2 linked regions of the Drosophila melanogaster genome follow. The protein of the gene in region 2 purifies or fractionates together with the protein of the main gene of each other region. This does not show direct contact. Each region holds a gene or a part of one and is shown on either strand. Other genes may lie near its edges.

The links. Proteins that work in one complex are often made in the same cells at the same time.
Region 1: the proteins of CG1105 (region 2) and atl purify together in Drosophila melanogaster (affinity purification with mass spectrometry, with the first as the bait; 2 studies listed by BioGRID). This does not show direct contact.

The regions. Positions count from the first base shown.
Region 1 is NT_033777.3:24,623,658-24,628,683, reverse strand, and holds the start of atl (atlastin), read right to left. Parts: upstream 3,014-5,026; 5' UTR 2,872-3,013; intron 1,619-2,871; exon of another isoform or gene 1,309-1,618; coding exon of another isoform or gene 22-1,308; intron 1-21. Other genes in the region: wsck, read left to right, coding at 22-1,308; Syx18 (syntaxin 18), read left to right, coding at 3,211-4,209, 4,529-4,717. UniProt on the Drosophila melanogaster protein: Membrane-anchored GTPase that mediates the GTP-dependent fusion of endoplasmic reticulum (ER) membranes, maintaining the continuous ER network. It facilitates the formation of three-way junctions where ER tubules intersect.
Region 2 is NT_033777.3:7,063,662-7,069,155, reverse strand, and holds CG1105 (uncharacterized protein), read left to right. Parts: upstream 1-2,019; 5' UTR 2,020-2,117; coding exon 2,118-2,232; intron 2,233-2,858; coding exon 2,859-3,014; intron 3,015-3,435; coding exon 3,436-4,278; intron 4,279-4,386; coding exon 4,387-4,541; 3' UTR 4,542-4,970; downstream 4,971-5,494. Other genes in the region: CG1965 (uncharacterized protein), read right to left, coding at 1-150, 208-448, 1,067-1,368, 1,427-1,646; Mst84B (Male-specific transcript 84B), read right to left, coding at 5,100-5,494.

The DNA of each region.
Region 1 (5,026 bases), about 18 Mb from region 2:
CTGTAACTATTTATATTCTAGGTGAGCACACTGGAGGGCGTTACCAAGACGATGTACAGTCGTGGAACTCACGACCAGCATGTGACATCCCTAGACGACTTTAGTTACGCCACCTTTGAGAAGGGTCAATCCTCGGTGGTTGCCCTAGCTGTCACCTGTGTGATCTTCGGCTCCTGCCTCCTGCTCAGTCTTATTGCCTACTTCTATCTGCGCTACAAGACCTGCCGCGGGCGACGATTGACTGGTGGCAATACGCACGAGATGACGCTGCAAACGCCCATAATCGAGCGGGAAAATAACGGATACCTTGTGGAGGACGATCCACTGCCACACTCGCCGGAAAACTTCAAGCAGCAGTTGCAACAGTTGGTGGAAGGATACGAACGGATACCAAGGAATGCACTACGACTAAATGTGAACGATGTGATCGGAGACGGACGCTTTGGTGAGATTATAACCGGAAAGGTTTCCACAAACGATTTTGCCAGAGATTGCACCCTGCACGTGCTCTGTCTGGACGATCTGAATGGTACTACACAGGCACAGTTGCTGAGAGAACTACGTCAGTTGTCTCAATTGAAGCGCCAGGAGCATTTGCTAGATTTCTATGGAGTATCAGCAAGTCCCGATTGGTTCTACCTAATCTTCGAGCAGCAACGCATGAGTCTAAAGAGAAAACTGGTGGAGAGTCGCCTGATGGCACCGTCGCCACGCTTGACTTCCCTCTCTGAGCAGCTAGTGCTGCAGTGGATCTACGAGCTTGCCAGTGCCATGAATTATCTATCCAGCTGCCAGGTGGTGCATCGACAGCTCTGCTCGCACAGCGTCTTCGTTACCAGCGATTTCAAGCTAAAACTGAGCGTCTTTGGACCGCTGCCCTACATGAACATTGCTCGCCAGCAGCCAGACCACAACCGGTGGCTGGCCCCGGAGGTGCTGCGCCATCAGCATCACCATTCCACCCGTTCTGATGTCTGGTCCCTGGCCTGCGTGGCGTGGGAATGCTGTGCCCTTGGCGGTACTCCCTATGCCAATGCAGTGGCAAGTAACCAACAGCTTCTAGAGGCCATTCGGGCTGCAGTGCGTCCGGCGCAGCCAGCCTACGTCTACGGGGATCTCTACCAGCTGCTGCTCAACTGCTGGCAGCTGGAGCCGAGCGAGCGGAGCAGCTGTGAGGACGTGGCCTTCGGAGTACGTCAGCTGATGACCTCACCGCGTCATGCCCTCAGCTTTGATCGAGTGGCCGGCGGACTAGACACCCTGCCTCCGTACCTGCCGCAACTGGAAGCCGTTGCTACGATGGGCTGAGGTGCAGCCGAATAGTATAATTAGCTTTAGTCAGCGAGAGACCACATTCGCATAGAGTAGATTTCGGTTCTGAGTCACTGCTGCTAAGAGAAAACATCACTTCATTTCGATTTTAGATGAGTTCACTTTCAGTGTTCTGAAGAGAAAATAATTTGTTTTAGAATTTACACATTGATTTAATAAAGCTCATAAATTGTTATTATCCATATAATATTAGAAGTGAGCATTTATGAAACACAATTCGATGTTTATTGTTAATACGCACAAACTTCCTACAAATAAAAGAGTGTTCTATGCCAGAGCTTATCAGATCTATAAGGTAGTTAATTGCTTATCTACAACCCGAAAGAAAGGAATCGACTTTCCCCCACGCGAAACAAAGTTCAAGCGAACGTGCTCGATGGAGAGCGCGATAGATAAAAGACTACTGACAGTCTGGCCCCCAAAATTGTGTAATAAATTGAGGGATCCATAGCGAATGGATCTACCAACAGACCAGCGACTGTGATTCCCCCGCCGATCGCTGATGTTGCACAAACCAGACAAAAGCGAAAACTAAAAGCAAAAAAAAAACCAAGGGAGAGAGCCGCGAATGCGAAACTTTGATCGCTGGCGAGCAGCAATTAATAATAGAAAATAAACGGCGGTGTTGCTTAAGTGTGAGTGGATCAAAATTGACGATTAATCAGTTTAAAGGTCTTGCATTGCATCTATTGTTTGTTATGTTGTTTAAGAATTAATTAGGGAAATTGTTGGCAGCAGCCTAGATGCGGTTACATGCATTATTAGTCATCCGAAATAGTAGGGCACTTTATGTATGTATATTCCATTGGTTTGGACAATCATCTTATAATGAAGCTACATAGCAAAAAAAAAAAAAAAATCTAAATCTGTGTATATTCTTCCGATATGCACTTTTCAAATGAAATGTTCAAAATTCGTTATCAGTACTTAAAATTTCTCACTATGTACAAGCTTATCTCGGGATCCTTCCCAAAGAAGATAAGCCATTGTTTCTCTTGTCGACGTGTAACTATTGGATCCACCAAAAAACCCAAAGCACATGGCTCACCCGGAATTTAGAGCGACTTTCTTATAGAGTATATGGTAAATACGGTAAATGAAGCGCAACGATATCCATAGCGACTTTTGGACGCTTACCTTGCCCGCAATTCAAGGTGAAATGACGACGAACAATTGAAGTCACTGAAATGTGTATACATTCCGAGCAAATGGGCAATTATTATTAATAAATCGAGCTGAATGGCTGCTATCGGAATTCAGGGGCTTCGACTGCCGACCATGCTCATGAATATGTGGAAGATGATGATGATGATGAGGTTCATCCGGTATTGGCCAACTTTGCGAGTGTTTTGCATTCGCCTGGTTAAATTGTTATTGTTTTTGTTACATATACACACATGGAGATTATGAGGAATCCAAGGAAACTGGTTGCTCACACACGCACACCAACGCACTGCGACGGAGCCACTCACGCACACTACCAAATGGTCGGCTAACTGCGCAAATAATGCGGCTTCTGTGTCGGCCTTTGTTACTCACTTTACTTAACCATTTACATCGGACACTGGACTTCACTGCGCTGCGATTTTTCGACACTTTGGAAGCAGAAAAGTACGTATTTTGTTTGTGCTCTGCCAATGGTGTGACCGTACACCGTTGGGCGAAAAATCACCTATAAGTGTGGGGGTGAAAATTCATTAGCCAACACTGAAATGCTTATCGATAACATTTAGCTATTTTTAGTATTAGCTAACTGGTATATATTAACGGTCATCATAAGGTCACACTGCAAACGGTTAAACGAACGGCCACATTGTGTTGGACCGATGATGTGGATTTAAAAGTTAAATATTTCAAACTTAGTTATAGCAAATAGCTATGGACATCACCCAGAGCTTCAAGGCCAGCGTAATGACGGTGCGCCTGCAGCGCAAGGCCGAGCTGGCCGGAAAGGCCAAGCCCGCCACAGTGCCGACAAAAACTGGACCAATTGGCCCAAAGGATGACTTCGCCAAGCAGGCCAAGGAGGTGTGCAACAAGATCACTTCGCTGCGCAATGTGCTGATCGAGAACCGCACCGCCTACATGCGCATTGGCCAGCACCTCAAGTCCGCCGCACACATGACCGACGCGCAGCGGGATCTGATTGATCGCGAGTCGGAGAAGTTCGTCACCTTTTACACGCAGCACCTGGCCAAGATGCGCAGCGATTGGAAGAGCGCCAAGCGGAAGCCGCAGGAGCGTCAGCACATCGACGCCGTGCTGGACCTGCTGGTCAGCTATTTGCACAGCGTGGAACAGATCTATCTGGACCAAAAGAAGTACCGTGTGCAACACGAACTGGAAACCTATAGGCTGCTCAAGCTGGCGGCGGACAAAAAGAAGATACCAGTGCGTCCGGCGGGCAGCAACAGTGGCAAGCTGGGCAGGCGCCAGGTCAGCAACGATGACAGCGAAGCCACGAAGTCATCTTCACAAGCAAATGGCAACCACGACGAGTCCGCCGACAATGACTGGAATAACGACGCCTGGGGCGACTGGGATGAAGACGAGGAAGGCGACGAGGTGGACGATCACGATGGCGAGAAGGGCAAGGAAGCCAATCAGGCCAATCAACACAAACCGCGTACGCGCAAACGAAGCAAAGCCAACAGATCGGATCTGAACAACTCATCCTCCAAGATGGCTCTGGATGAGGAGCTCCAGCAGCAGCAGGAGGCCGACGATGACGATCCCCTAAGCGCCGAGGATGTGCAGCTCTTCGAGGCGGAGAACGTACACATCTACAACTTTCTGCAGGGCGTCTCCGAGGAGGTGGAGCAGATCGAAAAGAACGTGGTAGACATTGCCCAACTGCAGGACATTTTCACCGAAAAGGTAAGATGGCATGATAACACAAGTCCCAAGGAATCCTTGCTGTTCTTAACAACGATATCTTTAGTTTAATTTTGGTGAGAACATATTGCTCCATATTGCCAAGAATACTTAGTGGGTTTAAGTGGCTGCCCATATGTTTGTCGACTTAATCCTTCAATTAAAAATATTAATTGGCTTCGCTAAAATCCACATCCTTCGCGATTACAATGGATGTATAAGCCGGGCTCTTATTAGCATGCAATTAATTATTAACTAGATCCAGATAGATCCACGTCCTAATCTCATTTAATCCTCTTAAATTTCCCTTTCCCTTTTGTAGGTCGCCATGCAACAGCACAATATCGACAGGATAGTTAGTGCCGTCGTGGGCACCACGGAAAACGTCAAGGACGCCAACGAGCAAATCCGGCAGGCCACTCAACGAAATGCAGGACTACGCGTGTGGTCGCTGTTCTTCCTGCTGGTCATGTCGTTCTCCCTGCTCTTCTTGGACTGGTACTACGATTAAGTGAAGTCCCCAAATTTATGTGTAACCCACCCAATTTAGGGAATGATAAATGCAAAAATGTTTTGTTATCGTTTGATCGCACTAAAAGCATATTTTGTTTATTACATAATTTATAAATAAAAGGAAAATATTTGTTTAGGCTATTCAACTGCCTTGTTTCAATTCAATGAAACCTCGTACAACAATATGGAACTAAAATCGATTTGAGCGCCTTGCTCACACATGTCTCAGTAGTTAATTTAAATTCTACACCAAAATGTGTTTTAGTGTGTTGCTTGGTACATTGTTTATATCTAGGTCCTTAGTCAT
Region 2 (5,494 bases):
GCTCTTCACGCTCTTTGCGTCCCGTAATATCGTTCATGTCCATGCGTTCTTCATCATCCGACTGATCACCCTCAACATCTTCGCAGGGCAGACGGTTGCTTAGCTTGGCCGGCTCCTTGGGCTCCTCAATAGGTATATAGTCGCCTGCACCTGGAATATAACACAAAGAGTAAGCCATCGCTAGTGTGGCAACGTGTCGAATCTTACCCTGTTCTCTAGCCCTTTGCCGACGTTTTCGGGCAGCGTGTATCATTGCTGCATCCGGAATGGAACCACTTTCGAGCATCTGTTTCAAATGTTCTGGCTTGGAGAAACGGTGACGCGTTTTGTCATGGCCACCATCCTCGGATTGCTGGTCTTCTTCATCGCTCATATCCTCCCGTCCAGCGCAAAGGGCAGCTCTACCGTTCAGAATTGCCTCGGGAGTCTCAGATTTCTTTACCACTAGCTGGGGACAAGATAAGTAAGTTTTATATTATTGTGGATTCCTAAAGGACTTCGATTAGGGTGAAGCATTGGTATTCATGCTGCTTTTGTGGAAGGGAAGACATGCGACTATCAATGGTGGGAAAATTACTATTTATGTGACTACGTTAGCAATGGCTTTGATTTTTGGTAATTCAAAAAATATATCTTTGAATGTTACATAATATTTAAATAGTTTTCTTCTGGTAAGGTCAAGTTGTATGCGTCAATTTATTATCAAAGAAAGAATGAGTTAGAATGTTCTGTGATAAATTTTCTAATTCGTGGTCATAGTTACAGTAGTAGTACTTAAAGATCGCATTATAATTGGAAATTTTATGTTGAGTGATAGTTGGATCGCAGATCCTAGACACTTCCCATCACTGACCAGTTAAAACGCCAAGCAAATCAACGTCTAAGCTACTAATATTTTAAAATTGGCACTTCAGACCAGAAAAACCAACTAATTTAATAACACATTTAAACTCATTCAGCCTAATCTTTGCTGCTAATTGTTCTACGATAATTCAATGTAATTTCTGATGTTGAAATTTCGTTAAACGGTATTATTGTAGAAGAAATTGAATAATAATAACCTTACCACAAAGTCGTCTGTGCGTATTTCGGTTTGGATCATATGATTATCACTTTTTTTACTTTTACTCTGATCGCTGGCACTTTTATATCTGCCAGCATTGGCAGGATTCGAGTTGGAATTCGGGGGACCCGATGATGGGCCACCGGACGACTCTAAATGCTGTGTACTACCATTTTCGCCCCCGGGATGTCCGCTGTTTTCCGCCCGTTCCTCGCGCTTCTTCTTGCGGCGTTCCTTGTCCAGCATGCGCATCACTTTCTTGCTATGCGACGACTTTCGCACCTGGAACACCTCGCCGTCATCCTCTGCAAAAGAATTGGGGATTTTGGCTCCATACTCTTTTTATATTCCGGTATCACTCACCATCATCTGCGAAGCTGAGCAGCGCCTTTGGCTTGCTGTTGTCCTCCTGCGGCTTTATGGCCTTCCGGCTCTTCTCTTTCTCCCTCTTGCCCGAAATTATGGGAGGCGGTGGCGCCTCCATTTCGGCGTCCGGATCCAAGGATGCGCCGTCCTCCTCTTCGTCAGCGTTGCTGGAGAACACGCGTCGCTGAATTTTCTTCGGTTTGCGAAAAAGCGACATTTTCCACGATGTTGTTGTTACTCTGCGATTTGTTTAATCAATGAAAAATCGGAAGAAAAGCGAATTTTCGCAAGATCTCTTCTTCTTGCTGTCGTATTGTAATAGAGATGAAAATCTTTCGATGTCGTTCTCGTGCTCACGTGAGTCACGAGCAGGGCTGGAACGTTAATTCTCGGTCCTCGGTCTAGCACTTACAAAACTTTTCTGTATTGAAAATATGAATAGCTTTACAAATTTTGAAACTATTGTAACAATTAAATAAAAATGTGATAAATACATTAATTTGTATACCCAGGGCAGCTACACATAAAACTGGTCTTATTAAAATATCGGCAAGAGCTTAGATGACTTTTCATCCCTAGATACCGACAACGGCCATCTCTAATCTCTGAATTCGGCGACCGCAGGGCGTTTCAAAACAGACCGAAAAGTCGTTAACTTATTGGTGCCTTGAGTCACAGAATCTCTAACATGGGCCTTAAAGGTTGTGAATTGCAATTGGACAACCCGTGGAACACCTACTACGCCGGTCAGACGGTCAACGGCCAGGTGAAGTTTACGTTCGACTCGCCCAAAAAAGTCCGAGGTAAGTGCGAATCCAAGTCCCAATTGTGGGCAGCGCTGGAGAATGCTAATTAAAACCCCAGCTGCTTACTATTACTCATAGGAGTGACGACACCTGTGTAAGAGTCAATGATTAATTGGAAATTTAGTAAATAAATATACATAGCACTTTCGTCTTCAATGTGCAGGATGTTCACTGGCTGTCGTTGGTAGTTTCCTTGCTAACTTCTTAAAATCCTGACGCAAAAAGCCGGCGCACCACCCACAAATGTCGGTTGCTCTTTCGGTGCCTAAACGACCTTGTTTTCAGAAAGCTGGCGGTTGTTAAACCCTCCAAAGAAATGCACTTTCTCCTCTTTTCAGTTGGGCGATAACAACTATAAATAGCTCCAAGTGTGAATGAATACAAAAGAAAGTAAATAAATATGTAGTACATTTGACGGGGGCATGTAACCTATGTGGCAAACATTCCACCATAATCAAATTTTGAGGTCACCAAACACGGGAGACAGATGCTGCCTGGTAGCGATGATGTCATCCGTTGAGTATGCCTTAGAAAGCTTTTCATATTATTTATAGCTAAAATTAAAGCGCCACAGTGACGTCGTCGATTGTCATTCCGTAAATACAGCCACTTGTTTCTCGTAGGTATTATCATTCGGTTCCTGGGAGAAGCCAACACCGAGTGGTCAGAGGAGAAGAGCGTAACCACCAGCGAGGGCAAGACCGAGAACGAGGTCACCCAACTGAAGGGGCATGAGGAGTACTTTAAGATCCAGTACTATCTGCTGGGCGGCAAAAACAGTAAGTACAAAAAACAGACCGGGAATTCACTCCCCGGTTGCCAGACCTTAGTTTATCTGAAAAGAATTGGAGGATTTAATTATTGAAAGTGTCTATTATTAAGCATAAATTTTTGTATTCTATGGTGTAAGAATTGGCCAAGAAGATTTTTGTTTAAAATTAAATTTGTCCTTATATGAATCGAATAAATGGGATTGCACTTCCTCGCTCTATATAAAATAATAACTAAATCTTGTAATTACTATACACCTTATAGCATTAATAACTTCTCCTTTTGAAACTACAATAATTTAATGTTTTTATTTAGCTTTATTAAATAATATACCTTGACAGACCCTTCCTCTGCGCGTAAGAATTGAAAACATAATAAGCTATAAGTGACCTTTTTAAAATGCTAAAAGTTAAATGTATGATTTTGCAGGCTCTGAGACGGAACTACCGCCTGGCACTCACACTTATCCATTCACCTGTGCTCTGCCGCCTAATCTACCCTCATCCTTTGAGGGCGAATTTGGCCATGTGCGCTATACCATCAAGGTGACGCTTGATCGTCCGTGGAAATTCGATCAGGACATGAAGATGGCGTTCACAGTAATAGCGCCCGTTGATCTAAATCTCAATCCTCGAGTCAAGGAGCCATTCAAGCTCGAGCTAGAAAAGTCATTCTGCTGTTTTTGCTGTCGCTCAGGACCGCTGGCTGTCATCACGAACATCCCGCAAACAGGATTCGTTTCGGGGCAGGTGCTGCCCATCACCTGCGAGGTGGACAACACCAGCAACGTAAATCTTACGGCAGTGAAGTTTGAACTGCGTAAGCTGGTCACCTTCCACACAAACCAGCCACGGAGCGAGAAGCGCGAGTCCAAGGTGATCATAGCCAACTTAAGTGTTGGCCCAGTCAATGGCGGCGAGTCTCGCACGTTTACGCAACAAATGGAGATTCCGGCGCTGCCACCGACCAACCTCCTCAACTGCGGGATTATCGCTTTGGACTACGACCTGCATGTGGAGTGCGAGGTGAGCGGTCCGCACCGCAATCTCACTGGCAAGGTGCCAATCACCTTGGGCACTATTCCATTGGCTGGCGTACGGCCACCTACTCAATTTACGGATGCTCCGTCGGCGGTTCAGTCCGAGGATCCATCGCTGGCGCCCACACAGCCAGTGAGCCCGGCGAGCCCTCCTGGCGGCGATGGCGTGGGTGGTGCTCTAGGCTGGAACGTGGCTGACAGTACTGGTGGTGGTTCACTGTATCCTAATATACGTGAGTATTAAAATTATGGAGTTTTGTGGATTTTCTTTTAAATTATAAAAGCTTCTTAGTAGGGTTATATATCTTTATTTATTAAAATATTCTATTTTCATTTTGCAGCGCCACCGCAGTTTGTGGAGACACAGTACCGGGCACCAACGATCGCCGGTAGGGACGACTCCGAGCATACGCAGATGATCGGCGACGGAGCCTTCGCACCTCGGTATCCGACTTTCCAGTTTAATAATGCCACAGCACCGCCAGCTAGCCAGTGATTGAATCTCTAAGCTAGACCCACAATGATATTCTTAAACTTTGATGTCGAACTATTTTCTTCTGGCTGTCTCTGTTTCTGGAGGGTTAGCTTTCGCAATTTTTATCGGCTTTGCATTTATGAAATATTAGCTTTCCGTCCAAATAGAAAGCATAAACAGGTGCAGTCAAAATAAAAAAGGTCTACCTATACAAAGTTTTTGAAATGCTTAACTTCTGTTTATAATTAAATAGCTTTCGGACAGTAAATACAAAGAATTGGGTCTTTATTATTTTGACTGCATCTGTGTTTAATTTAATAATCGTATAAATACGCACAATTGTCAATTCCGATTTAAACTGCTCAAATTTAATTTTTTCTGTTTTTTTTTAAGCCAGCAATAGTGCCTAAAACTGATGTACGACTATAATCGTAATAAAACACAAAAGATAATGAAGGTTTGATACATGGGCATAGCCAAATCCTGGGAGCCAAAAATGTGTTGAGCCTTGAGGAACTTGTTTTATACGGAGCATTGGGAGATTTAAGAACTTGGAATGATGGTGCTATCGTTCCATATTTACTTCTTCTTTTTCTTGCAGTATTCATTCAGTTCCCTGGCCTTTCTTGCTTTCTTCTCACACTTGCACTGTTCCTTCAGAGCTATTTTTTTGCATTTGGCCTTGAGGATCTTCATCTTCTTTTTCCTTTGTCTAAGCTTCTTTTCGGCTATTTTTTTGCATATCTGAAAAAGTCCTTCGGGATTGGCTTTCGGCTTCGGTGGTGAGGGTGGTGCGGCTTTAGATGGTGGAGGGGATGGATTAGCAGCTTTTGGTGGTTGGGCAGGAGGCGGAGATGGCGTTTTAGCGATCTCCTTCTTCACCTCCTTCTTTACCTCCTGTTTGATGTTCTCTTTGACATCCGTTTTAGCTACTGGAGCAGATTTGCTAGCATTCTTCTTAACTTGGGCTGCTT